4 separate regions of the Mus musculus genome follow, and all the other regions are reported to be linked to region 1. Evidence: microRNA targets listed by miRTarBase, many of them from high-throughput screens and not tested one by one. Region 1 holds a microRNA gene; each other region holds the end of a gene's coding sequence.
The links. Region 1 holds the annotated microRNA mmu-miR-29a-3p (UAGCACCAUCUGAAAUCGGUUA, at 4,058-4,079, shown strand). A microRNA usually pairs through its seed, bases 2 to 8, with sites in the 3' UTR of a target mRNA and lowers its output. Matches are read on the target gene's strand: a 7mer-m8 pairs with bases 2 to 8, a 7mer-A1 pairs with bases 2 to 7 and ends in A, and an 8mer does both.

Region 1 (7,120 bases):
GTCCGCCCTCTGTGGGCCTTCTGCAGCCTGCATTGCTAAAGCCTTAGGGCTTACCAATTCCCCTTGAAAATAGACCTTCTCCTACCCTGTGCAAGACACCTTCATTCTTGCTCTGGTTGGATCTACAGGTTTATAGCATGCTGCAGCTCCTACACCAGCTTGCACAGTACACCTCGCTGCTGTGCCAAGTGGAAGGCCAAGGGCCGTGCTCCTTAGTCATAACCACCCCAGTGTCGCCAAATGCAGGTAGCCAATCCACAGCAGTGCCTGCGGAAGGAAGTAATAAATGTCTCTCACTGGACAGCAGAGAGAAGGGACCTTTTGAAAGTGTCTGAGTAGAGAACCCCACGTCCGTGGGATACACCCTGAGGTTCGTGTGTCACCGAAATACCACATACTGCTCCTCTCACGAAGGCTCTCTGCAGCGTGTCTGTCCCTGGAAAATGCTTGTAGCAGGTTGTCTTTGTGGCCCTGTAGAAGTTGAGGTGCATGCTTGCAAATCACCCTTAAAGAGGTCTTGCTGTATTTTGTCCACGGTGAGTCTCCAGTGAGTTTTTAAGTGACCATCGGAGTTTGATAGCCACTCTTACACACCCAGCTGCCAGTTCACAACCAGGGAAGACCTACAGAAACCTGTGCTCACCAGCGACAGCACAGGTCCCGCGTGGAGGCCCTTGAATGGAGAAGTAATCAGAATATATTTGCAGGTGCTCATTCAAGTGTGCGGAGATGGGAGGCACAAGGCAAAGGTATCTTTTTTTGACACATCCGTGTATGCCTCTCACTTGTGAGCTGGACCTCTTAGCTGCATCCCTCTACTAAAATGCCAAAGGAAAGTTCCGTATTGCTCGTTCGATCATCTCATGTACTACCTGATTTAACCCTTACAAAGCTCGGCTCTTCTGGGTACGGCTTCCAGATGTGTGAGCACAGCTACTGCAGTGACACGTGTGGCCTGGCCCAGACACACCGGTTAGGCCTGCCGAGTCCTGGTGGCCCTAACGTTTTGAAGCTGTGTTCCTCAAGGGGTGCTGGTTCAGGATGTGATAGTTCTTGTGAAATCTCCAAGCCCCGAGGGAAGTTATCTTAATCCAGTTTGCTCAACACAAGAACAGACTGGCTTCTCACGTCACTGGGAGCAATACGCATCTACTGCAGGGCCTTTCCACACAGAGCCCTGCTGTGGGTTACTGACTCAGACCAGGCCCCGATTTCCCTATCAGATTTGACAGAAGTGCACAGGAAGGGCAGTGCGTTGAAGAGCAGCATGAAGCATGCAGGCTGGGTTGTGAAGCAGGCCCACATTTTCATGGCTGGTGAGCTGAGAGCTGCTTAGGGGTCTATCCTTGGAAGATAACTGTTTCTACTCATAGGGTGAAGAGTCTGCCAGCCCAGCGTGTGATCTGTGTATTGTAAGGTTTCTTATTTTTGTCCTTTCAGGAGTTGTAATACTGCAGAGTTGTTGCTAGTTAAAAAATAACAGTAACCCAGCCTACAGAAACAATAGTTCTTTTATGCCCTAGCCCCAGACTAAAGGGTAATGAGGTTGTGTGTCCATTAAAGGGAGAAGGGAAGCACGGGCACACTTGTGAGTGAAGCTGTTCCTCTTGGGAGGGCTGTGCTTGTAGCTGAGGGCCATGGAAGGCCCCAGAGTCCGCACTTGTATGCATGTCCTGAGGGAAGAGGGCCCTGGCTTGTCCACCCCTCTGCCAGCCAATAATAGAGAGTTTCTTTGTTAACTTCAAGACTATTCTCATGGTGAGCCTGTTCCTAGGGAGCTGGGACTTGCTGAAATTACATGAAAACTGGGATTCAGACTGAAGAGCTCTGTGTGTACATGTATGCATGAATGTGTGCTTGTTCATGCATGCATGTTTTTATCATATGTGTGCACATGTGTATGGGTGCCCACCGAAGCCAAAGAGGGCATCACATCCCCTTCGGCTGGAGTTGTAAGCCAGCCTGTGTGCTGGGAACTGAACTCAGAAAAGTGCTCTTAATGACCGAGCTCATTCTCCAGCCCCCAATGGTTTACATATTCTAGACGTAGGGCCTTTCAGGCCTACCTTTAGTGAACATTTTCTTTCGGTTTGGTGCTGTTTTTATTTTATTTTATTTTATTTTATTTATTTATTTATTTTGAGAAAGAAAGGTTTTCTTAAACTAGTCAAAGGTTTATTTCTTTCATTTAAAAAATATTTAGGTATGTTTTATTATTTTTTGAAATAGATTCCCAGTCTGTAGCCTGGCACCTCGTGGTGCTGGACCAAGGAGGGGTCCCGCAGCCTTGATGAGATCTGAGTGTAAAAAGCAAAGCTATAAGACTGTCTTTTGAGAAAGTAGGTGAAGTCCCATGCACACTGGCTACTTCACAGTCCCAGGGAATTGTTTGTTTCCTCGGGTAGGACAGCTTACTGTAATTATAAAGAAAAATGTTCTCCTTTTTTTTTTTTAATTTTTTATCTCAGTATTTCTTAAACAGTGCTGTGCCCCAGCAGCTGAGAGCAGAGCACCTGGCTGATCTTCTCTTTGCTTTCAAACAATTCAGTAAGAACCACATATGCCAGGGATAGGTAATAATGTAGATTATATATCTAAAGCAAAAAACGCTCAGTTGTTAATTCAGAAGGCACAAATACAGGAATTTGTTTGATTATCATTGAAAGTTAATGCCATGTAGTGAGCCCTGAAATTACATGGACTAAGCCGGCTGTAGTCACGTACTTAGGAGAATGTGTGTGTGTAACAGCAATTAAAAAGAGGCCATGGATTTGAGAATGAGCAGGAAGGGATAAAGGGGGAGAAAATGTTAATAATCATTTTAATGTCAGTACATTTGAAAAAAATATTTTAAAAAGAAATTTAACATACAACTTTTTAAAAAGGTATTCTTAAAAAGGACATTAACATTCTAATATCTGAAATGTTTCTAAATAGTTTTTTTTTTTTTTAAGGCCGTGGATGTGTAGTTATTGGAGTCCCTGACACATTCAAAAGAGTGACGGCAAACGGCCTGGCCTAGCAAGACCACATGTCAAGAGCTAATGGAAGGGAGACAAGAAAGAAGCCAGAAAGTCTCAGCACTCAGGAAGCAGAAGCAGGGCCTCTCTGAGTTACGAGGACAGCCAGGGCTACATAGTGAGACCCTGTTTAAAACTGTAATAGTAGTAGCAGTAGCAGCAGTACTGATGATAGTGATAATCTGTCAGATACCGAAGATTCAAAGCTTCACTTCTGGAGGAGAATTGAGTTAGCAAAAGACCTGAACTCACTACTGCAGTCTGGCAAAAGGGGGCAGGGTCTCATTAGCATCAGTGTGTTGCTTTGCCTTTGAGAGGATCCCAAATTGTGCTCACTTGTCGACTCTAACAGATCGATCTGGAAGTAAAAAGTGTCACGCTTATCAAAAGTGTGCTGAGCTCTGCCACGCTGCACCGTGAATGTGTAAGCCTCGTGCTCACTGTCCCACGTCTGCTCTCGGGTGAGGGCTCAGTTACCATTTGGAGGGAAGAATGCCATGAGTGACCGACATGTCACACCCCCACCCCCACCTGCTAGATGAGGTCAGCATAGGATCGCCTGAAATTAGGAACTATTGCACGGACTTCACCTTCCCTCTCCGTAGGAAGGCCACAAAAACAGACGACAAAGCTTCTTCAGGAAGCTGGTTTCATATGGTGGTTTAGATTTAAATAGTGATTGTCTAGCACCATTTGAAATCAGTGTTCTTGGTGGAGAACTACTTCGCTGCCGACCGCACAAAGAAATGAGTGTACAGCCCTGAAGTAAGTGTCCAGTGTCTAAAACAGGCTACCAGAGCCTGCCCTCGCCCACCCTGCTTACCTCTGTGTTATGGATAGCTGATTAGTCAACCACCGTTAGAATTGCATACTTGTTCATGTAATAAGCCTTCTCTGGAAGTGGACTCCACCATGCTCGGATGAAGACCTACATATACGACAGATTGAAGGCCTGGGCCTTCCCAGTGCACATGACCTCTTGTGACCCCTTAGAGGATGACTGATTTCTTTTGGTGTTCAGAGTCAATAGAATTTTCTAGCACCATCTGAAATCGGTTATAATGATTGGGGAAGAGCACCGTTCAGCTGACTACGTTATTGCTGACGTTGGAGCCACAGGTAAGAATTAAGAAACAAATACCAAAACATGCTAAGGTACATTTTCTTCCTATCTTAAACTTGACTTTCATTAACACGTGCCCCAGCAACAGCATGGTTAACTATTCACATAGTGATGGTGGGTGTGTTTTAGAAAGTGTGTATGGGTTGCAGATTTGACGGTAACTAGAGGATAAAGGGCCAAACCAATGACTGACCAGTCAATGTGAGAGGAGCAGGGGATATTTACTTCTATAAGGTTCTAACAGCTCACATAGGGATAGTCACCTAGCCTGCCTGACCACTGGCCATTGCATGGTTAGCTGTCCAGACCAGGAGAGCTATAAGTTAGATGTAACAGATGGTTCAGATAACTGGACCTGTGTCTGGGACTCAAGTAATAGGCATAAAAATAAGTGTGACAAACTCATGTCTGGTAGATGTGTCCAACCATTTACATTGCAATGCGATGTTGTCATCAACAAAGTTAACATTAGAGAATACAATGGGATTGCAAAAGATAATTTCGTGGGTTTTAAGTACACTTGTGATGTGTTGGACAGCATTCATAGCTATCCTGAGGGGAAGGGGGTGGGGTGGGGTGGCATGGGCCACAGGTTGGACACACCTAGCCTGTGGTATTTGTAGCCTTTCCAAGTGGTGCTTAAGGCTACATTTCCTCCTGGTTGAACTTTAACTAGACTTATAAATAAGGAAAATCAGATGAATCATACAAATGACTAAGCTTTGGCTAGATCTAAAAGGTTAGGCGAGATAGATTGTACAGTTTTTCCTTGGTAAACAAAACGGAACTCCTGCAGTAGACCTCGCTGCCCAGAACCCCAAATCCAAGTTTTCTGTGCTTGTGTTTCAGAATGAAAAGGCAAGCGGGCTGTTAGTATTGCTGAAGCGCTGCGTGTGTAAGTAATTCCTAACCCTGCTGCATCCCGACCTTCGTTCATAGCTCGTTCCTGTTGAGCCGAATGGGATCGCGTGTAGCCTCAGTTACTCCCGCATTACGCATTGTCCAAGTCAGCATCACGGCCTCGTAAAGCAGAAGAATGCGTTTGCTGCTGAGACTGAACAGCTTGGGTTGAACTGAAATGAAGAGGGAGTATACCACAGATACAGAATAGGAACAAAGTGACACAGCTACAGAAAACCCGAAGTGGAGCGTTTGAACCATTTTAGAGTATATAACACAAAGGCTCTTGAGCAAAGCTTTCATGGAGTTGTACAGATCAGCAAGGTCTAGTTCTCCTCACCTCGAAAGAAAACCTGAATCCAGGCATTCCTTACTCATTATGTACTTCCTGTCTCTGAGTGAAATCTGTTCTCTGTAGATTTACATGTTCTGAACATTTCACAGAATCACACCCTCTGTGAAATTCTCCATCCAGCTTAGTTCACTTAATGGGACGTTTTCATGGTTCTCTCACGGTGCGTTCATCCAAACTCGGTTCCCTTTTCATGACTAAATAATATTTCACTGTGTGGGCATGCCACATCTTGCTTATATACTTACCAGTTTGGCATTTAAATTGTCCTGTTCTGTTTTGTTTTTAAGTTTAATCTTCTAATATGATTCATGTGTTATATATCCACAGACTGCACTGGATTAGCACTGAGCCCTATAGCAATAAGTAGCTGTCCACTGCCGCACCTATATTTTCCCATTAGCTGTATCCTCAACTTTTATCTGTGTCTTCTGACTGCCTACATTTAAAGCGTTGCGCTGCTCTTCTTTCATTCTGACTTTCTTCCCTGCTCCCTCCCCCATGTGAGGATTTAACTTTAACAACCCTCATTCCCCCTTAAAGCAGCCGTTCCATTGACCCTCACAATCCAATTACAGCCCAGGTGAAGTCAAGGACTAGTGAACAACCCGGCCGCAAAAGGCCAGGTAGACAGCTGTCATGAAGAACCTGAGGTGCACATGAGTACACACATGCACATAGAAGAACTAGTGTTGGTAATGGGGAATATTGGTAATATAGAGAGGGATTTTTTTGTAGCCCACCCATACAGATTCACATTCCTTCAGAAACCTTATTAAATTCTGAGATGAGTAACTATCATTTTAAACGTTGTTTCCCTGAACTTTCCCATGCACTCCTCATAGCGACTGTGGAGCTTTCAGCTTCCCTCCCAGCGTGCTGGGACAGGCTTTGGTTTCTCGGAGCCCAGCTTCCTCCCACACTGGTCTGGGTGAGTGCCTTTCTCAGCTCTCTGGTTCCCTTGCTTCCTTCCTGGGCTAAATACATTCCAGGTCCTCATCTCTTTAATCCTCTCAGCCAGCTCCTGTCTGAGAGTCTGTCAGCCAGCTCCTGTCTGAGAGTCTGTCAGCCAGCTCCTGTCTGAGAGTCTGTATATGTGTTCGTTCTGTGTGTGTGTGTGTTAAAGAAGCACACACATCCTTCGGTAGTCATCTGGGGAAGACTGGTGGAACTTTTTTGGGGGGGCCGGGGGGCAGGGTACAATTTTTGGTATGGAATGTCTGGTTAGAAAAAGAAAATCCTTCAGACTTTCATTCTCTAGTATGCAGGATTGAAGTAGAATGCAGAGCTAATCAATAGGCCCTTTGCTCTGGAAGTAGGAGACTTGGTTAACCCTGTAGTCTGTGTTCTTCAGTGGTTGGTCCTGGGCCTTGGGAGAGCTGTCTTCACTCCCTGGGCAGGGCATTTGACATTGCTGTCATTGTGGACAACAAAGTCCCTGCCTTCTTAATCCTCTGGCCTTCACCTTTGCCACTCACCGCATGGCTTGCCTTACCGCTCCCTGTCTCCTTTCTGTCTCTTTGTTCTGCTTTCTGGAAGAACTCCCACCATGTCTTCTAAACATCACAGTGAGTGAGCATGTCTGCTAATGGACTTCAGTATCTGAAAGGTAGGTCTTGAATGCCATTCTTCCCTGGGGTGAGGATTCACAGCTGTTTCAGGCTGTTGATTTCTTACCTGTGTTTGAGTTTTCTCTCCCCTGCCGTTGTCTTCAGGTGCTTTGCG
Region 2 (7,120 bases), not on the chromosome of region 1:
CCTGCTGTGGTTTGGGAAAGGAGATAAGTCTTTGAAAAGAAAACAAACCTATGAAGCAAGCTTTAAAAAAAAAAATCACTGCGTCTGAGTCACCTGGTAGGCTTGTTAGAATGGTGTGCTGGGAAAAGCCCCAGGAATTCTAATCCCAGGGGTCTGGGAGGTGACAGGAATTTGCATGTCTAATGGTTTCCAGGCATGCCAGGCTGCTGGTTCAGGGACCACACTTTGAGACCTACTGAGAGACTCTGCTCCAGTACAACCTGGCTTCCTGCCATCTATTTATATTTTTGAGAATACATCTGTGGCTTAGGCAAAGTGCCTACTAGCTTTGCCTTTTCAGTTTAACATACTGCATGAGCAGAAAACTGTGTTTGGCTTGAGACTTGAGTGGCTTTTTCTTTAGCATGAGAATACTTAGTGGGATTTAACCCATTTCCATGTGTCTTTCTAGGACGGGTCTGAGATGGAAGCCAACGTGAGCCTCGCCAGCTGGGATGTGGAGAAGCCGGCTAGCTTTGCTTTCAATATTTCCCATGTCAATAACAAGGTCCGAATCCTAGAGCTCCTGCCGGCCCTCACAACTCTGATGAACCACAACAGATACTTGATTGAATCTGGAAATGAAGATGGCTTCTTTAAAATCAACCAGAAAGAAGGGGTCAGCTACCTCCACTTCACGAAGAAGAAGCCGGTGGCTGGGACCTACTCCTTACAAATCAGCAGCACCCCACTTTATAAAAAGAAAGAACTTAACCAGTTAGAAGACAGATATGACAAAGACTACCTCAGTGGTGAACTGGGCGATAACCTGAAGATGAAAATTCAGATCTTGCTGCATTAATTCACCATCCAGAGACCAAATAATTAAATGAAAAAGCAACCTTAGGCAGGTAGAATTATATTTTCCCCAAGCCAGAACCTTCACATCATGGTACAATTGTTCACCGAGTCGATCTGTATAAATGAGCACCACTCTTGAATGGCAACACCCAGGTACAGTGATGATCCTAGTTCAACCAACCACTTTCTCAGGCTTCTCGTGAGTAGCTCAGCTACCCTGTCATGCGTATTGATTCCTGAAAACTGGGACATGAATATCCGCTGAGGTTGGCCATTCACGCCGATGGGCTATCTTCCCAGCCTCCGCACAGGAACGCGCTTCCATCTGATGGACTGTTCCGCGTTGGTCTTCAGATCTTGAAACTTTGCTTCTCCGAGTGCAAGCAGTAGGTTTCTGTTGTCTGTTTGGTGCTAGTAAATTCTCAAAATAGATTTATTGATGCACTGTAATAAAGACACGAGTTAGGAACCAAATTGCCAAGTACTCAGTTCAAATACTTCATTTCAATCAACCAAAGTTAGTTCAGTAGCTTATCTCACTTATGAGTATGGTGCAGTACATGTAAATTAAGTGTGTGTACACTGTAACGTGCTATTTTTATCATTGAAACATTTATAAACTACAATAATAAAGCCCTTAATGTGAGGGTTTGTAATGGTGCTTATTAAGACCAAAGACTTGTTAAACATCTACACCAAATGGTAGTGGATTCTCTGAGACTGGCCCACTTGTGCACTGAGGTTGGGGAGGACAAGGAAGCAGCCTCAGCCACCAGAGGATCACCACCGCATCCTCCATCACACAGCATGTGCAATACGCCAAAATCACTCTCAGTCATTCCTGTCAACAAGGGGTTAATGTCATGATGTCACAATAAAGTGATCCTCCCCTCCCTCCCCATTTTAGTTTACACCTTGGTTTTATGTTCTTGTGTGGATTAAGGCTGGAGGGGCCTTTCTGGAGGTGAAATAAAGTCTCCTGGGTTTAAAGTATCCCTGCTTTGTTATCTGTGGCTTCTGTGTATGTGTGATGTAAGCACCAGGAGAAGAAATCACATCTTCAGTTAGTCCCTTCACGGTGGTACCGATTGCTGATGTTTGTTATCTGACTTTCCTAGGAAAACACTTAGATTACAGCATCATTTCTAAAATGTGACCTAGTTAGTCCTGGGGCTTTTAAACTCCCAGATTTAAGAACTCCCAGATATAAAATCCAGTCATTCTCTTCGAGCTGAACTTCATGCTCCTTCCCCTCACGTACACAGCATTGGCAAGGTGTTCCATCCTTTCCCCTGAACATCTGTTGTTGGTCAGTGCTAGACTAATTACAGAGAGCTGATTGAATTGAATCCAACTGAATGTTGCATCTCTTGGTTTTCAAATGTCCTAACTTGAAAAATGGTGGTTTATTTTAAATGCAACATTCAATATTTAACTGTTAAGCTCATTTAGTTAATAGAAGAAAAAAAAAAAAAAAAAAAAAAAAACAACTCCCCCAGGCCAGCAAAACTGTGGTAGTGAAAATAAGATGAATTAATTTTGTTACATGAAGGGAGGTCGAGAGTGGAATTTTCCAAGACATGGGAAAGTCCTCTCAAAGCCATGGGAGCTGTATGCTAGAGCCAGTGGAGTAGGCTATGAGCGATGCTTTCCCAGAAGACACAACTAGTGTCAAGTGCTGTAAGGCTCAGTTTAACACATACCTCCTTAATGAGAAGGCTACCTATGGTGAGGATGGGCTTCCTTGCAGTCTGCTGAGTTCAGCTAGGTTAGACAGGGCACCGGTATCCATTTAATGCCTGTGGATACCCTAAAGAGTCTCTTGTTTTTGTTTGTTGGTTGGTTTGTCTGGGTTTTGATTTCTGGGTTTGTTTTTTAATCTCTGGTTTTGCCAGCCAGAAGAATGTTGGCCACAGTTGTTGCTCAGCAGAGATGAGGCAAGGATGCGAGGAATTGGTGTCTTAAGCTGGAGGTTGAAATACACCCCAGAGTCTCCTTCAATGCTGCACCTCTCACCTAGTGATGGAAGTGCTAGGGAAGGATTGACCACATCTGGCAAACTGTGGATTTCATAAGGAAACCGCCTTTGATAATATAACCAGAGCTATAGTTCATTCAATAATAGACTGTCTTTATGACAAACAACAGAAGAAAATGGAGTTGGCACATGATAGACCACTTTGATATTTCTAATAGTCTAAATCTGGATTTTATTTATCCCAGAGCCAGCAGTGTTGAACAGCATATTTTCCATGTTTCTGACGGTAACACAACGTTTGCCTCATTGTTCCACTGTAAATATTCTCTTGTGAAACCCCTTCCTCTCCCGGGCTTTCGACCTGCACCTTTCAATTGTCCTATACCTTTCCATTTTACTTGTGATAGTCAAAGAGTTTGCGCTTTAAACCATGCAGAAGCTTGAAAATACCCCATCTCCCCCACAGCCCATTTCATTTGCCAATAATTATTCTGTAAGTAGCATTCAAGTGAACTCAGCTGCCCTTGTGAAGTGTTTTAAACTTGCATAAACAGCTACATTTTTGTGCAACAAATTGTACTTTACTCAGCCAAAATTGCTTTGGATGCTGCCATTACAAATACTGTTTCACTTCAGAAATCATGCTTGTAAATGAGATGGGCCAAAAAAAAAAAAAAAGGATAATTGGGTTGATAATATAAATATGTCCATACCTATAAACAGCTGGGATTTTCAAATAACAGGTCAGCTTTGTCCACAACCATGGACTTTATTCGAACTTCAACTGTAGTTTTTAGAGACATATTAGAAACACGGTTATTCACTGGCTTAAGGACATTGTTTTTAAAGGGTAGGAGATCAATACCACTAGAAAGATTGACTTTCAGACACACATCCTCATAGGCATGTGTTTGGGACATTTGACACCTCAGGACCTGGCAACACTGCCAAATCTGTTATTTCAACTAACTGCTAATGAATCCAATTTCTTTTTCTTTAAAAAAAAAAAAAAAAGGCATGCCATCCTTTTAGAGAGTGAGCTGTTTGCACCCTCAACCCTTGCACATGCATGGAAGGGCCACTCGATTGTTGGCAAGTGGAAGGTGTATCCTCTCTGCCAGTTGAATCCAGTGCTAGCAGGTAAGTTGTGATTCATGCTGGCTCATTAGCCATTATTATTTTTGACCCCTGTGACTATTCATATTTCAAAAAAGTATTCAGCACCCTGGATTCTTCTTTGACCCCTGGGATTGGTTACAGTGTCAGCTAGAAGTCACCAAGGCTTCTCAGTATTTCTCCAATCCAGACAAGAACTCGGGTTCAAGGTTAAGTAGCGCAGAGGTGGGGCATTTGGCAGGGCGTCCTCACTCAGCACTTCCTGCCTGACTTCCATCCCCACCTGACCTAGTCCTTGCAGCTGTGCTGGGAGTTGCAGAGCTATGAAGAGATCCGGTTCCTCTTCACCCTAAAATACTCGCTTGGGGAGAATTAAGTTGAACATAAACGGTGAAACTTTTGGGGCCTGGAAATGGAGATATTTGAAAACATCCACCCCCCCCAGACACTGACAGAAAGGGGTCACAGACTGGTGGAGTTGTGTCTACATGGTGAGCTGAACCCTGGAAAAGAAAGCCAAAGCTGTCAGAAAGGATTAATGGGATCTTAATTTGTCAGAACTGGGTGTTTTCCTAACCACACAAACCCAGCATTGAGGGGCTTTTCTATACCTTTCTGTTTTCCACCACATCGAGACCATCCTTTTTGGATGTGTTCTGTGCCTCTCTCGGGTGGTCCCAAGATCAAGCCTCAGGGCTGCAGACACCAACAGGGGACAGACCTCTTTCTGGCCTGCTGCTTCCTGTGTTCTTGTGGGCTGACTGCTCCAGGGTCATTTGCAGGCATCATGAATTCCTAGATGAAGCCAAAGTCTGTGCTACAACATCCCAGGAAACAATGTCTCCAGGTTCCATCTGCTGTCCACCCACACAGACACACAGACATACAGACCTCACACCTACTGGAAGAAACAGGAAGCCCCGCCCACCATTCTCAATGCTCTCCATTGATCATTGACAAGACTTTCTCCCCAGAGACCATGATTTTTTGACCTACAAAGAAAGTACACTGAGAGTTATTTGACCCACTGCGAGGGCTGGGAGCGACTCCTTTGTGTTTCTGAGTCTGGTAACTAGTGGTAACTGCATCACCCTCTTTGTATTATCTGACATATTTATTACCCCCTATACATATTTTTTTCCTTAATTTAAGCCCTGTAATCTATGCTTCTCTGATTCCCATCTCTGCTTGGATATTTACTGGTACACAAGTCTGAGGGTCTTGCCAAAGGTCTCTGACCGCACAGAGGTTGAGATGAGACTCAAACACCCTTCTTTATCTTCAACAGTGTAGCACGCACCCAATCACTGCTGGAGACAAAGGGTGAATGACTAACGCAAGGTATGTTGGTGCAATGTAGAAATCTGTCAAGGTAGAAATTACACATAACATTTGAGACCTAAAGAGTCTGTGTTATAAATCTCAGTTTCACAGCCCTCGGAGACAACATGCAAGAGGCCATAGCACATTCACCTTGCACATCGATAATCACCAAAATCACAGACCCGTTCTTCCCTATCTCCCCCACATAATACTGTGGTGATCTGCACAGAAAGCTGTGAGTTTGTTTGTAAAATTGGATCCTGTCAGTTCCTGCTAAAATTATAACCAAAATGTCCTTTAGAATATTATTGCCTCTGTAAGCATAGGACGAAATTGATATATAAGACTAATATTGAACATTGATATTGAAACACTAAGACATGGCCTTAATCTAGGGGTTTATAGATAGCAATTGAAAAGTGTTTTAAATATTTCCACATCATTGATCTGTAGCAGAAACTAAATAGATAGTCACCAACTCTGCTTCTTTCTTCAGAACCCACCGGAAGACCAGAGGTCAACAGAAGGTTTGGGGCTATGTGCCAAGACACTTACCAAGAGGATCTTAGAGTAAATGACATATATTCTTTCCATGTCTGTTTGAAAACAATGAATAAAAACATGCAGTCCTTCCCACAAGAAACCAAGTTCATTGCCTTAAGCCTCTGAAAGTCTGGGAATTTGATACAAATTTTATCTGGAAACATTTTGATACATATTGTTGATTATTCTAATAAAGGCATACACACATCTCTACCTTTTTACCAGGAAGAATCCACACACTAATGGATTTCTACCTTGGCTGCACATAAGAACCACCATGGCTCTTTAAAAGGGATCTCTGGATCTAGGTTGTATCCCTAACCCACTAATTCAGAGTCTGGGTCTGTAGTCCAGCCATGACCAGTCTTAGGAGTTTTCTAGGTGACTTAAGTGTGCAGCCCTGACTGAAAACCTACTCTGAAGACTTAGAGCCTTAATGAGAATCTGGCAGTCAAGGGAATACTGTTCTGGGTAACTCATATGCCCCCCTTTTCCACTATCACTGTAATCTATGGGACTTCACGTTATCACATAGTAAAATGTGACATCTCCTGTCCTGTAACTTCACTGGACTTATGTGGCACCAGCTGACAACTCGCAGGCAGCAGTGAGTTTTTGTAGACATTGCTGGACTCTAACCAACTCCAAGCTTCCTCTCATACTTGCCACTGTGAGAAAGTCTTATCTCCATACTGGTTTATTTGCATGAAGCCAACATCTTCAACATGAAGTCTGTCCATAGCAAAAATATCAAAGAAACCTTCTAAAATATGAACCTTAGAAATACCATGCAGTTTCTTCAAAGTGGGCAGTTCTCTAGAGAGAAAGCTAATGCTTTCTTTCTCAGCCACCAGCTTCCACTTAGAACGTACAAGTTGCACGATGGGACACAGGCCAGGTTACCACCCATCCTGGCCCCAGTGGTTCCATCTTGAAATGTATAAATTACAGAATGGTTTGGCAATGCATTCTATTATAAAATGTAAACTTTAATATGCCTCCCAGGAAGTTTTCTGATTCAGCAAACCACATATAAAAATACAAAGCAAATCAAGAAGTACAGAAAAGGAGGCTGCCATTGCCAACTGAGAGCCGGGAAAGGAACGTTTGTGTATGCATTGAGGTAGAACACTCAATCATGCTGCTATAGATGACTAAAACGACACAATACAGAAATACCCATCCCAAGCACCTTTAAATGCTATTACATGCATGAAATAAATCCCCAAAGAGAGTTCTATTTTCAATTTTGTGTGTGTCCTTAACCAGCCGGTGATAAAGAGTAAATGTTTAATGAGTGCCTGCTTATAGGCACCAAAT
Region 3 (7,120 bases), not on the chromosome of region 1:
TCAGAGAACTCTATTTCCCCGTCTCTAGATCACTCAGCTGAAAATCGACAACAACCCCTTTGCCAAAGGATTCCGGGAGAACTTTGAGTCGTAAGTGTTCTGAGTTCAAATCCCCTTTGGTCTTTCTGAGATGGGACTGTGGTTCAGTGCTCAACATGCCCTGTCTCTGCTTCAGGGGTCTGGGGACCATCATATTAGAAGCCTAATATAGCCTTGATCTCTCTTTCTCTCTCTCTGTCTCTCTCTGTCTCTCTCTGTCTCTGTCTCTCTGTATTTATTTTATTTATACGAGTACACAGTAGCTGTCTTCAGACACACCAGAAGAGGGCATTGGATCTCATTACAGACGGCTGTGAGCCACCATGTGGTTGTTGGGAATTGAACTCAGGACCTCTGGAAGAGCAAGCAGCCAGTGCTCTTAACTGCTGAGCCATCTCTCTAGCCCCCTCATTCATTGTTTTTATTTTTATTTATTTTTTAGCATGTACGCATCTGTTGATACGAGTGTCCCCTCGCCACCTGGACCCAACTGTCAACTGCTTGGGGGAGACCCCTTCTCACCTCTTCTATCCAACCAGTATCCTGTTCCCAGCCGTTTCTACCCCGACCTTCCAGGCCAGCCCAAGGATATGATCTCACAGCCTTACTGGCTGGGGACACCTCGGGAACACAGTTATGAAGCGGAGTTCCGAGCTGTGAGCATGAAGCCCACACTCCTACCCTCTGCCCCGGGGCCCACTGTGCCCTACTACCGGGGCCAAGACGTCCTGGCGCCTGGAGCTGGTTGGCCCGTGGCCCCTCAATACCCGCCCAAGATGAGCCCAGCTGGCTGGTTCCGGCCCATGCGAACTCTGCCCATGGACCCGGGCCTGGGATCCTCAGAGGAACAGGGCTCCTCCCCCTCGCTGTGGCCTGAGGTCACCTCCCTCCAGCCGGAGCCCAGCGACTCAGGACTAGGCGAAGGAGACACTAAGAGGAGGAGGATATCCCCCTATCCTTCCAGTGGCGACAGCTCCTCTCCCGCTGGGGCCCCTTCTCCTTTTGATAAGGAAACCGAAGGCCAGTTTTATAATTATTTTCCCAACTGAGAAAATGCCGCTGAATTGGAAGGTGCCCACTAACTTAGAAAACAGACGCGGGGCTGAGAGCCCCGAGCTCTTCCCCATCCCTTCCCTGTATAGTGATTGGTTGGAGAGGAAGCGGGGCAAGAAGGATTCTGGGGTTTACTTCTTGTTTCCTGGCCCACAAGGAAATACGACAGGAGTGTCCCCTGCCCCTTTCTCTGCCCGAACTACAGTCACGAACCTGGTGCTGCTTCTGACCCCATGGTTCCATGGAGAACGGAGAATGGACTCCAGAGAGTTTTGGACCCAGAGGGACTTCATGGCTTTCTGCGAGGTGGAGGGGTCGGGGTGGGGAGTCCAGGAGAGCTGCTCTCTTCCCCTGTCCAGTCAGTAACTTTCAACTGTTGGTCTGACACCTGTGTTAATCTCTGACCTGAAAGTGAAGATACACGCATTTTTACAACAGCCAGCCAAACAGAGAAGACTCAGGTGACTGCGGGCGGACTGGGCCACCTGCGAGGAGACAAGAGAGGGTGGGTGCAGAGGAAGGGTTTGAAGGGTGCACATTTCACCAGGCGAGGTCACTTTGAACCGGTGTGTACACACACGGGTGTCTCTTTTTTATTTCTTCGGGAGGGGGGAGGCTATTTATTGTAGAGAGTGGTGTCTGGATGTATTTCTTCTGTTTTGCATCACTTTCTGGAAATAAACATGGACCTGGTAAACACGCCCTCCTTCTGTGGCTGGTCGGTAGGAGGTGTGTGTGTGTGGATCAAAGTTTGCTGATCTAGCAAAGTTGTCCTGTGGGCTCTTGATTTTGGGGGGTAACTGCCAGGAACCTAAAGTGACCCCACTTAGGGATAAACTCAGAGTATGTCTTGTCCTCAGCACTCCAGCTGATGGTTCATGCCACCACATGTGACCAAAGGTGTATTGTGACCAAAGAGCCCCTCAGCCTATGTTGCCTGCTCAGAACCCTGGAGGGAGGCAGTGTGGGAGCAAGGTTAGGACCAGGCTGGGTCGGGTGGAGTTTAGGAAAGCCAGGACTCTTGATTTATCTTTGCATCACTCTCCATTTTTTAGGAGTTTGTTCAAGTGTTAAAGGCATAAGTAGAAATTATACCATGTGATGTTGCCACTCTTTTGTAGGTCACGATCAGGCATACACTAGCAATTCCACATGAGTCACCTTAGTACACACTCGGGCAGGATTAGCGCTTGATGAAGTCCTCAGTGTGGGAGCTCTCCTCTCTCTTTTCCCCCCACCCCTCTTATTTAGTTTTCATTCATAACCATAAACTTAACTCTGAAATCCAGCTAGACTTGGAGGGGAAGAAGGGAAATATGGGACCCCAGGCACTTCAGTGAGAGCAGAGATTACAGGGTGTTGCGAGCAGATGACGTGGGGGTGCTTTCCTGAGCTACAGAAGGAATGGTCTGGTGGGTAAGATGCTCGAAAGTCAAAAGAATTAGAGTTGTCCATGGTTGGAAGTGGGGATCTTATTTTCCTCCTGGTTTTGCCATTCCTGGACCCCCAAACACTCCATGGCTTCCACGATGTTCATGCCTTCTCTCCCCTTCCCCTCAGTCTTGGCAATGCAGGTGAAAAACCAGTGGGAAGCATTAATGTTTGGTCCAGCATTTGCATGGACAAGATGCCAATGACCAGGGCGCTTCAGGATGAAGTTCTCATGCTCCAACTTCTCCCTGTAGATGGACCTGCCGCCAGTGCCACGGTGGTGTGTGACATCACCACCTTGGCACATGAATCCTAGAATTACTGTGTGAGAGTAGGAACCCTTACACCCAAATCCTATCTCTCCAGACAGAGCTCAGAGCACGGAAGTTCTCTGCTGCCTTTGGAACTGTGTCTACAAACAGCTTAAAGATTATGTTGTAACCCAGGCTGGCTTCCAATTCACGGTGATCCTCCCGTCTCATCCTCCCAAGAGCTAGGATTACAGACACAAACCACCATGCCCAGCTTTCTAGCTCTCTGTTTCTGAGAGAGAGAGAGAGAGAGAGAGAGAGAGAGAGAGAGAGAGAGAGAGAGAGAGAATTTGAGTCAGGGGTAAATGGCTAGCTGCATGCACAGACTGACCACCCAAGCTTGATGCCTTGAATTCATGCAACAGCTGAATCTGGTAGCACACATCTGCCATCCCAGAGCTCCTAAGAGATGGGAGGCAGAGACAGGAGGGTGTCTTGGCAGCTTACCAGATGACTGGCACAGTAGGACAGTAGGAAAACAGTGGGGAAGAGAACAGTTTTAACTTGGCAAGAAGAGAACCAACCTCAAAAGATTGTTCTGATTTCCAGGTTGGCCTTACAACATAGACCAGGCTGGCCTCAAACTTACAGAGATCCACCTGCCTCTGCTTCCTGAGAGCTGGGATCAAAGATGTGCCCCACCACACCCAGCTGTGTATGTGTATATTTGTGTGGGTGCCATGGAAACCAGAAGTGGGTATCAGATTCCCTGAAGCTGGAGTCAGATGTGGTTTTGAGCCTCCAGATCAGTGATGGTTTGGTGGGAACCAAACTCAGGCCCTCTGTGACATCATCAGATGCTCTCAACTGATGAGCCACTGCTCCACACCCTAAAATTAAAAAAAAAACAAAACAATTCAAGCCAGTTGAGGTGGCAAGTGCCTGCAAACTCAGCACTCGGGTGACTGAGACAGGAAGGCAGACAGTTGGAGACCAACCCAGGCTGCACAGTGAGACCCTATAGTGAGGAAAAGAATAAGGACAACTGCAAATGATATCAAATTTTGCTACACTTGAATAACTGACATTACCATTCAATGGGTTAGACAAACAGAAATGGTTTATAAAATTGTGACCCTACAGAAATCATGTTTTGTCTTAATGAAAATGGTTGTATTTTAATTTGTAGATTAATAATACAAATAAGCAAAACACACACACACACACACACACACACACACACACACACGTACACACACACACAAACCTCTCAGAACCCAGCTGAAATAAGAGAATTGTGGGTTGGTGATAAAAGTTTCCTCACTAGCAGAACTATTCTTTGCACAGACACCCCTGAAATGAAGAAAAGAAAAAAAAATAGGGCTGGAGAGATGGCTCAGCGGTTAAGAGCACCGACTGCTCTTCCAAAGGTCCTGAGTTCAAATCCCAGCAACCACATGGTGGCTCACAACCATCCATGACAAAATCTGATGCTCTCTTCTGGAGTGTCTGAAGACAGCTACAGTATACTTACATATAATAAATAAATAAATAAATATTTTAAAAAAAAAGAAAAGAAAAAAAATAGTCTTTGAAAGGAACGCTGTAAGGTTAAGAAAGGTTTTTTGAGCTAGAGTTATAGATAGTTGTGAGCCACTATGTGGATGCTGGGAATTGAACCTGGGCCCTCTGCAGGAGCAACCAGTGCTCTTAACCACTAAGCCATCTTTCCAGTGCATTAAATTCTTTTGTATTCATTTACTTGCTCATTTTTATACGGATTAGTGTTTTGCCTGCATCTATGGCTGTACACTTGGGTAGAGTGCCTGATGCCCACAGAGGTCAGAAGAGGGTGTCAGATGCCCTGAGACTGGAATTTCAGAGGGTTGTGAGCCACCATGTGGGTGTTGGGAATTGAACCTAGGACTCTCCAGAAGAGCAACCAGTGCTTTAACCCACTGACCTATCTAGCTCCACACCACAAACTCCTAAGGCATTTCTCCACTATGTTTTAGTCGATACCATCTCTCTTTGGAATTATGATGCTATTTTGATTCATGATCATCCACTTTAAATTTAGGTGTTTCTTTCATCTTCTGTGTTCTGAATATTGAATGGCACATGTTGGTTTGAAGTCCTGTGGCAGGCTGGGAGTGGGTATGTGCATGTGGGTGGATGTTACTGAGGCTCAAACCCAGGGCCTCAGGTGTGCTAGGCAGGCACTCCACCAGAGAGCTACATTTCCAGTCTCATCGATGTTAAACCAGGGGTTCTCAACCTGTGGGTCTCGACCCCCCTTCCAAAGCACTGATGATTACATTGCAATTCAAAGTTATAGTCATGAAGCAACAAGATGATTTTGTGTGGGGGGGGCAGTTCTCACCACAGCATGAGGAATTCTACTAAAGAGTTGCAGCATTAGGAAGGTGGAGAATCAGGGCTCTGGATTCTCTTTCACATTGAAGTCTTAAATACTGGGTGATCCTTATCAACTCACATTTAATAGCAAGGCTCTGGTAGTCCCTTTAAGAGCACTTGGGTGTATAGGAGAAGTGGCTATCTCTCACGGGCTTCCCATAGGGTGATCCAGGAGGGTGACCCTGCAGAGAAGCTGGCAGTGGGGTGCTGGATCTGACCTTGATTAGCTTATGAAGCCTGAATGTATTGAATGCGGTGGCACCTTTAATCCCAGAGGCAGTTGGCTCTCTGTGAGTTCAAGACCAGCCTGGTCTACATAAGTGAGTTTCAGGACAGCTAGGGCTATATATTAGAGAAACCCTGTCTTAAAGAACAACAACAACAAAAGACCCTCAGGCCACACTCGCATGCAATCTGTTCCTTAAGACAAAGAACTAACAGGTGCCAGCCATACCTGTTAAGAGTCCTTAACTCTGAGGGAAAAGCCAGCCCAGCTTCACCCTCCCTCCCTTTCTCTCTTTCTCTCTCTCTCTCTCTCTTTCTCTCTCTCTCTCCTCTCTCTCTCTCTCTCTCTCTTTCTCTCTCTCTCTCCTCTCTCTCTCTCTCTCTCTCTCTCTCTCTCTCTCTCTCTCTCTCTCTGGGACAGAGTTGATGAGAAATACTGGACTGTGGTCTTACAGTTCCACCTTATAGTCCTATCTAGTGCCTTTTCTGTGCCCCTTGACAGGTAGGCAAGGTTAGACCATGTAATATGAAGCTTGCCCACTGAAAACCTGTAAGTGTCAGAAACTGCTCTCTTCATCTGCATTTGAAGGAATACCTCTCCTCTTTCCACCTTTAAGGATCCATTATGGCTGTGATAGTGTAACTGATAGTCTGTGAGCTCAAGGGTCTGAGTGAGCCTTCATGTCCCTTCATGCCCCATCATACTAGACATGGTGAGTATCTCTCCTAATGAGGCCACTGTCACTTCTCAGGGCCCCATGTCATGAAGCTGTTGTGAAGGGTGACCTCATCTCGGCTCCTTTCTATGAATCTGTCCATTCTCTCTTAAGTTGAAACAGAACAAGTATAGCTTTCCCTCACGGCATCCGGTGGCATCAGGTTGGTAGCTTGACATCGCCCATAGTGGGAATATTTACACTATGGGAATAGATCCGTGCTGCAGTAAGGCACAGCCCCTCCCAAAGAGCTTGTTTCCTAACGCAAACTTGAGAGTTGGCATCCCCTGCAATATGAGTGCACGGAGAGACCCCTCCTGAGAGGATCCATTCTCCACAGGAAAGCCCCCAGCAGCTGACAGCGCCCTGTGAGTGGGGCAGGAGAATGGAAAAAATGGAAGGTCACTTTTTTCACCCCCAATTTCTATGTGTTTATGGTGTGTGTGTGCATGCATGCACACGTGTGTATGTGAGTGTGTGCACGTGCATGTGCTATGGCATGTGCACTGAGGTCAGGGGACATCCTTGGGTATCAGCCCTCCCCTCCCACCTTGTTTGAGACTCTATTATTTTTCTACCGTGTGTATAAATTGCTGGCTTGTGAGCTTTTAGGGATTCTCCTGTCTTCATCTATCATCTCCTGGGAGCACAGGGATTACAGGTGTGTGAACTGCGTGCCAAGCTTCTCCATGAGTGCCGGGGACATAAACAAAGGTGTATCACCTTGTATGACAAGGGCTCTTACTCACTGAGCCATCTCTCTTGACCCTCCATGACAAGTGTGACTTTGATTTTCTTTTTTCCATTTTGCCAAACCGCTCTTACTACCTTTAGGCTCCCAAGTCCTGCCTTTCTCCTCCTCTCCAGAGAAGGACTCTCTGCTTCTAGGTGGGGATGCTGGTGAGACGGCTCTGGGCGCTCAGCGTGAGAAGCAGACATGAGCATCTTGTCATGTCTGAATTCAGACTTCTGATCATCTACTAGTTC
Region 4 (7,120 bases), not on the chromosome of region 1:
GCCCTGTGTTCAGGTGACCTGTAATGCAGAAATTACACCACAAGGGCCTGTGAGGGCAGTGCCAGCCAGCACTCTTCAGAAAGGCGCTTTTCAGACACAAGTGAGTCTCCCATTAACCTGCAGAAGTGGGGAGTCACTGAGTGTTTCCCTCTCCCCCAGGCAAGTACTGGCGCTGCCTGCAGCGTCTGTCCTCCACGGTGGGGCACTCTCTGATTGAGGCGCAAAAGTGTGAGAAGGAAGAAGCTGAGACAGTCACCGCCATGGCCTCGCTGTCTGTAGGCGTCAAACCTGCTGAGAAGAGGTGAGTCCTGTCCATTCCGTCCCAAAGGCCTGCTGAGTACACCTGTGCATGAGGACCTGACAGAGTCTTCTTTGTGTCAGGCTTGCCCTTTAGGGACAGGGTAGATGGTGGCATGCCCACTGACTCGACAAACCAATCCTGTCTATCAGGAAAGAGCTTGCACTTTGGTGGAGCAGGGATTTTGACAACTCTGTGAGAAAGGGAACCTGATTGCACAGGGCCTCCCTCACCCACTGTGCACCCTGCCCGACCCCCTTTCTCCTCTACAGATCTGAGGAGGAGCCCATGGAGGAGGAACCACCACTGTAGCCCGAAGCTGCTGTTCTCTCCTTTGTTTGTCTGTCTTGAAGCTCAGCCAAGAAACTTACCCGTATCACTCCTGCGTCCTGCCTTGGTGCTCTCTTGAGTACAAAGGGACAGCAGGCGTGCAGCAGCAACGGGAAGCCTTTCTGCCGCCCTGGACCACAGGTCTGGAGACGCACACGGAACACCGGGTGTGGCAGATCACATGGAACACAGGACAGCGCGCAACACACGGGCACACAGACATGTGGAAGCCAAGCACACGCTGGTGGCTCCCCCTCCCCCTGGGAAGCCTCGAAGGAAGAAGCTTGTGGCAACTTGGGCAGAGTTGCTGAATCAAGTTGACATGAGGAAAATGAAAATCAAAGATCTAATAATACAGAACAAACTTGATTAAAACTGGTGCTTAACATTTGATTCTTACCCACAATCCCACAGTCTCCGTGTAAACCACTCAACTCATCTTGTAGCTTTTTTTTTTTTTTAAACGAAAACAAAACCATTTTCTATGGCTCTGGCCTGCCTTGTGAACCTTAGTGGGGTGCTGTGGGGGTTCACAGCTTAGTGAGGGACAGAGTTGGAAGAAAGTTTAAACGAAAAAAAAAAAAAAAAAAAAAAAAACTGGACAGAACAGAAATGTGAGCCTGGGAATCAGCTGGAGCTTCTCGACGCCACCGGAAGATGCGAGTTTGTGCCTTTTTTATTGCTCTGATGGAAGTTTTTGTGGCTGGGTTTTCTGAAGTCTGAGGAACAATGCCTTAAGAAAAAAACAAACAAAAACAAAACACCACTGAGAATTGGTGTGACAGTGTCCTGTGGCTGGCTGAGCCTGGCATTACAAGAGTGGGCACCAGCCACTGTCCCCGAGGGCCGAAGTACAGCCAGCCTTGCTTGGTTTGATCGCCATTTAAGGAAGATGAGGTAGTTCCAAAAAGCAGCGAACGCCGCCAGCAGTTTTAAAGTCTAACACATTTTAAACGGATCCAAAGTCTTCTTTCCTCATCCGTCACTTAGCAGTTGAGCATCTCCATTCGGTTGTGAAGCATGTCGTAGGCACACTGCAGTGTTACGATCGGAATGCTTTTCATTAAAAGCAGGTAGCATGAAGTATTGCTTAAATTTTAGGTATAAATAAATATATATATGTATAATATATATTCCACTGTATTCCAAGCTAAGAAACTTGATTCTTATGAGATCTTGATAAAATATTTATAATGCATTTATAGACAAAGTATATATAAATATATATAATAAATCCAGACCGCAGAGGTCCTGGCAGGTGAAAGACGTGTGTTAGCTCTGAGGTGCTGAGGGCTGGGGTCTGGATTGAAGCCCAAGGGTTTTTGAGCTCCAGATTGGCCAGCTTCCAGATTGCCAGCATGTTCACCCCTGGGCAACTTCCCTACCAGTTTGTACTTTAATTTTAATTATTTTCTAACAGAACCTCTGCCCTCGCCAAGACTCCATGCACATATGTACCTGATGAGTTTTTATAGCAAAAGATATAAACTTGCTGTTGATTTTTGTATGAATTTTTCACAAAAAAGATCCTGAAGAAAACATTATTTTGTGTATTTTACATTTTTCCCTTACCATTCAGCAGTTTTCTGAAGGTGGTAATGTCTGAAACTTTTTCTTTCTAAATTCTTACTTGTACATTTTTTTTAGCTCTGAAGGTTATTTTTATGGTTTGATTTTGTTTCTTTTTGTACAGCAAGCAGGGTTCTGCTTTGAGCAAGAGCGCTGCTATCATGCTTGGTTTTTTTAGAGCAAACCTCTCGAGATTGGGCAGCAGGTCTGCGTGGCACCCTGGTCTTGTCCAGCTCACCCGGGAGCAGCACAGCCAGGGGCTTCTGCCCTGCAACACCGCTAGTATTACAGGGCGGGCAGGCCTCGTGAGCCGTGAGGGTGGTTGGCATTAGTGAATGTGGACTTGTAACCACTCCATCAGGATAGAACCCCAGCTCGAGTTTCCCAAAGACCTTTGAGGCTCTGGCCCTGCACCTGTTCAGGAATTTCCATTGCGGCCTCATAACCTGGACTCTGGCTAGAGCCATAGCCCTGGGTTTGTAGCCTGTGGCCGCTGAACCAAGGCCTTTGTCCTTGTCCTGCAGGAATACACAGGGTCCTGAGGGACAGCCAGTCTTTGTCTTTGCTCTTTTTTTTTTTTTTTCTTATGACAACTAACTTTTTAACTGCTAACTTCTTTTCTAGCACTTAAAGCCGCCAGTTTCTTTCCAAAGTATGTGGAGTTCAGACTGGTGAGAGGAAGTTGAGATACTCAGAAGGGACATCAAGCTAAGCTTCTGAATTTGGTGGCATTTACAGGGTAGATGGGAACTGGGTCAAGCTTTTGACAGACAGGCTGAGCACACATTCTTGGACTTTTGATGGCTGGGCTGCTGTGAGTGCTGAGCTAAGACAGAGGGTGGAGAGGTCTTAGGACGTCACTGACTTTGCCCTCCCTGTGGCTGCTCTGGCCCTTGGAGAAGGAGCAGACTTGAGGGAGCCCATGCAACCTCTCCCTTGCTTGTCACTGCATGGCGACAGAGGCCAGCTAGCTGCTCTTCTGGCCGCCTTGGCCCATTTACTGCAAACCCTGCCACCTGCCCTCTTGTGCCAGCCACGACTCGTGGGAGGTGCACCTCATCTTACTTTTTCAGGTGAGGGGTAACAGGCCACTCAGTGGCCAGGGTACTGTGAGAGGGACTCACTTTGGTCCTATTCAGTCACCCTTTGATGCAGGGGCCTGGCCAGGGAGCCAACTCACTCCAGCTTCCCTGTGAGCTGAAAGCATTACCTACCATATAGCCTTTTCTTCCCTTTGAAGACACATGTGGCCCTTCCCCACAGTCATCACCCAGGGCAGAGGGCAGAAGGTCAGCCTTGACCTCCAGGGCAGGACCACAGCACTCCCCTGCCTGGACCTTGAACCTTCCACCTTCTCCCTTCTTTTGCAGAGGCCTTGGTGGGTGCTGGGAAGGGAGCTGGGAGCAAGCACTTTACATCCCTTTAAGGGAAGCCCAAAGCACCGTGTCCTCAGGATGCCGGTGTCCACTCACCTTGGGTCTTCCACCTGCACCCTGAGAGCCCACGCTCCACCAGCAGGCGGCCGTTCCAAGGCCACTACCCACTGGGACATCCCAGGGCTCTGGCTTGAGGGCCGCTTTATCAAAGTGTTTCAGTTTTTCTTTACTTTCGAATCTGTCCCCAAGAGGAAGGACCATCCTGCAGTGGTCTCCACAGCACTGGTGATAGACTTGGTTGTGTTTCTTTCCTCAGAACATTCCTTCTTCACTGGTCACAGCCACGTGCTCATTCCATCCTTCTTTTTGTAGACTTTGGGCCCATGTATTTTATGGGCATTGATACATATATAAATATATAGATATAAATATATAAATATATTTTTTTAAGTTTCCTACACCTGGAGGTTGCATGGACGTACGCCGGCATGTCTTTATATTGTATACAGATTTTGCACGCCAAACTCGGCAGCTTTGGGGAAGGAGAAACAATGCCTTTCTTTCCCCTCTCATGATGTTTGCAGATGCAGAATTTTTTCTGTAAAACAAAACCTTGAAGGAGAAGAGGGGGGAGTTTGAGTCTTATTGAACTTATTCTTAAGAAACTGTACTTTTTATTGTAAGAAAAAAGGACTACTTACACACTTGTCATTAAGAAAAGTTTACCTAGCACCTTTGACATACCGATAGAGAGTCGATTGTATCCATGTGCAAGCCCCACATTCACACCCTACTGCCTGTCTGGCAAGCTGGCTAGGGGCATTTTCTTTTGTTTTGTTGGTTTTCTCCTTTTCTCTCCCCACACAGGGCCAGGTGCACCCTGCCTGCTGTCACCAGCCTCTGGTCGAGAACCTGAGGTTCTGGTGAGTCCCCGTCTCAGCACAACTGTGCTGATGGGTTCCTTCCTTCAGGAAGACACGGGCGGGGGCTGGGTTTCCGAGTTGGGCAGTCCAGGCCTTTGTGAGCCCTAGGTCTCAGCGACACTTGGCACTGGAGGAAACTATTTCTCCCTCTCAAGGATCCGGGCGTGCTCTGCACCCGGCCTTGGTGGCCTCACCGGCCTCACGTTGATCAGAGTCTCCTATGGAAGAGAAGAATGCAGACAGGCTTGTTCAGGGTTGTGCACTCCACTGAGGAGATGCCATTTCCCAATCTGTAAGAATGTTAAACATGCTGTTTCCATATATGCGCAGGAGGCTGACCTCATTCAGCAAGAGCTCACTACAGAAGTGTGGTCAAAGCCGCCACCGGAGCGCTGTGACATGAAGCTGTGTGTGCTCCACAGCCACGACCGCCTTCACTCTGTAACAGCCTGTTTTCTCTTTGATTGTCTGGACCTCCCCTCCGCGGCGCTTTCTCCTCTTGGCGGGGTTGGGAGTCATGTTTGGTTTTCTCATTCTTGTTTTTGTTTTGTGTGGTGGGTTCACTGACCGGCGGTGTCCTCTGGCGGTCACCTCTTTCCACCTCCCGGGTCCAGTGTTTGTACCACATCACACACTTGTCGCTCTCGTGGTGTAAATAAAGACTGCGTTAATTGCCCTCCCATCTCTGCTACCTCCTTGTGTTCTTTCCCCCAGCTTGGGGGGGGGGGGGATTGTGGGTGCCCGCGCGCCCAGGACACTGGGCACTGACCTCCCATGCCCTGGGGAATCATTGGGCCCCGTCACTTGGATTGAACTCCAGCAGCCTCTCAGACTTTTCCCAGCTAAGCACTCAGAGCAGATATGAAAGCTGCCAGTCCCCACCACTAACAAGGAATCCCGACTCCCACCGGTCCAGGTGCGCTCGGAGGGTTTGGTTTCCAGGGGAGCATGGTCTGCCATCAGACACACACCAGCCGGTCAGAAAAAACTTAGCTGTAATTTCTGAGCTGTAGTTTGTACTGTTATAAGTTACAGGCAGGGCGTGGATGTCCCTGGCTTCAGGTCTCCTAAGGCCGTGTGTCAGCCTTCTCTGAAGGCTCGAAAGGGGTGCCGTCTCATACACTCCTTGGGTTGGCAGACCTTTCCTGACTCTCATGGTGCCTACAGCAAAGCAACCTGGGAGACGGCATCCCCTTGGTAGACTTGAGAGCTTGTCCTAATAAATTTCAGATACTTCCTGGTCTGCACTTTTTTTTTTTTTCATTTTGATTAAGAGCCAAATGCATGCCAGCTATGAATTCTTGGAAGCCTTTACCTCCAATTGGATAAGAAGGAACTTGGAGAATGTTCAGAACGATTCACCATAACAGCCTATGTTAAACCTCGCTCAGTCAGGACCAAGCCCCATCAAAGCCTCACTGGGGAGCATGAAGTCATGAAGCTGGAAGATTTGTTTCAGTAGTTCCAAGAACTGTTAGGACTGCTGAAAGCTCTTGCTAAACTGTCCACTTAGGAGAGGGCTGGCTCCTAACGTGTGTTCTACTAAAGCTCCACTTCCTGCCCGTTATTAACAACCTCAGATCACTCAAGACAGCAGTCCAGATAATGTAAAAGGCATTCTTCTGCCCCTTGATCCCCCCTCCCATTCACTCTCACTGCCACACGGCCTGGCCCCTAAGTAGCAGCTCCCCTAGACTGGCCAGGCAGGAGCAGCAGCGAGGCCAAAGAACCTTGACTGACTAATCAGTTCCCTTCATCATGTGTAGCCTGAGCGAAATAAACCCAAGGTTGGTGATGGAGGTGGGGTTGCTGTCACTACTGCTAAGACATACGACCACAATGACCAAAAGATAGGTAATTTTGAGACAAGAATGCAAAATGGCCAATAAGACTGTGGGACAGGTACCGTGAGCTGTCCTAAGGTTCTAGATGAGGACACTCATTCCAAGCATCAAAGTGAGTGGTTACCTGGAACCCAAGACAGCCACACCCTGCCGGGGTAGCAGTTGTGAGTGAGTGTGAGTCTTCTCTCCGTGGATGCTAGGACAAGAGTCCAACCATGTCCGACTGTGTGGGAGTTGGAAGTGGAACACTGGACAGAGCAAGGCTGAGACGAGATGCCTAGGAGTTGTATTTACCCCAAATGGCAGGGTTCCGCAATATGGCCCAAGCAGGTCAGATGGGGGAATGATCCCAGGGGTTTCCATCACAGCCACACCCCTGTGTGAGAGGAGAGGCCTGAAACCAGGACAGGAGATATGCTGTGAGAGACCTGACTGCTGGCGTCAGGCCAATCTGAGGTCTATAAAGTACCACAGCAAGAACAGGCTGCATGCACACCACCCACTGCCCAGAAAGGGAGACCAATATTACTCCAGCACCACCAAGGGATGGTTTCCAGAATGAGCCTCATCCATTTGCCTCACCCCCACCCGAGTCCCCAAGCCCTGACCCACAGGAAGATGAATTGAGGCCATGCTACTCATGAATGCCGGACCCTCAAGCCATCCCCCCCCACCCCCCCAGAATCCTGGGGAATGCAAACCTAGAAAGGGAGGCCCTCCCTGGGCTCCTTAGATTATGTCTTCATCTGCCCTACAGGGCAGCTGTGGGCTGTCTGAGCC

Region 2: the mRNA of Fbn1 is a reported target of mmu-miR-29a-3p. Seed matches in the 3' UTR shown: 8mer at 1,247-1,254 and 7mer-m8 at 1,497-1,503.
Region 3: miRTarBase lists Tbx21 as a target of mmu-miR-29a-3p. Seed matches in the 3' UTR shown: 7mer-m8 at 1,307-1,313.
Region 4: the mRNA of Hdac4 is a reported target of mmu-miR-29a-3p. Seed matches in the 3' UTR shown: 7mer-m8 at 694-700 and 7mer-m8 at 1,005-1,011.

Annotation. Positions count from the first base shown.
Region 1 is chr6:31,059,632-31,066,751 of GRCm38, reverse strand. It overlaps Mir29a (microRNA 29a), which reads left to right and starts at 4,005; the gene lies at 4,005-4,092. Mir29b-1 (microRNA 29b-1) reads left to right here and starts at 3,659; the gene lies at 3,659-3,729.
Region 2 is chr2:125,295,307-125,302,426 of GRCm38, reverse strand. Fbn1 (fibrillin 1) reads left to right here. Exons shown (of 66, transcript NM_007993.2): 66 at 452-1,833. The coding sequence ends at 841. Among named protein-coding and RNA genes, the nearest start is that of Dut, 51 kb to the right of the region's middle.
Region 3 is chr11:97,092,740-97,099,859 of GRCm38, reverse strand. It overlaps Tbx21 (T-box 21), which reads left to right. Exons shown (of 6, transcript NM_019507.2): 5 at 29-90; 6 at 482-1,853. The coding sequence ends at 1,088. Among named protein-coding and RNA genes, the nearest start is that of Tbx21, 19 kb to the left of the region's middle.
Region 4 is chr1:91,926,837-91,933,956 of GRCm38, reverse strand. Hdac4 (histone deacetylase 4) reads left to right here. Exons shown (of 27, transcript NM_207225.2): 26 at 160-301; 27 at 571-5,178. The coding sequence ends at 610. Among named protein-coding and RNA genes, the nearest start is that of Gm46242, 51 kb to the right of the region's middle.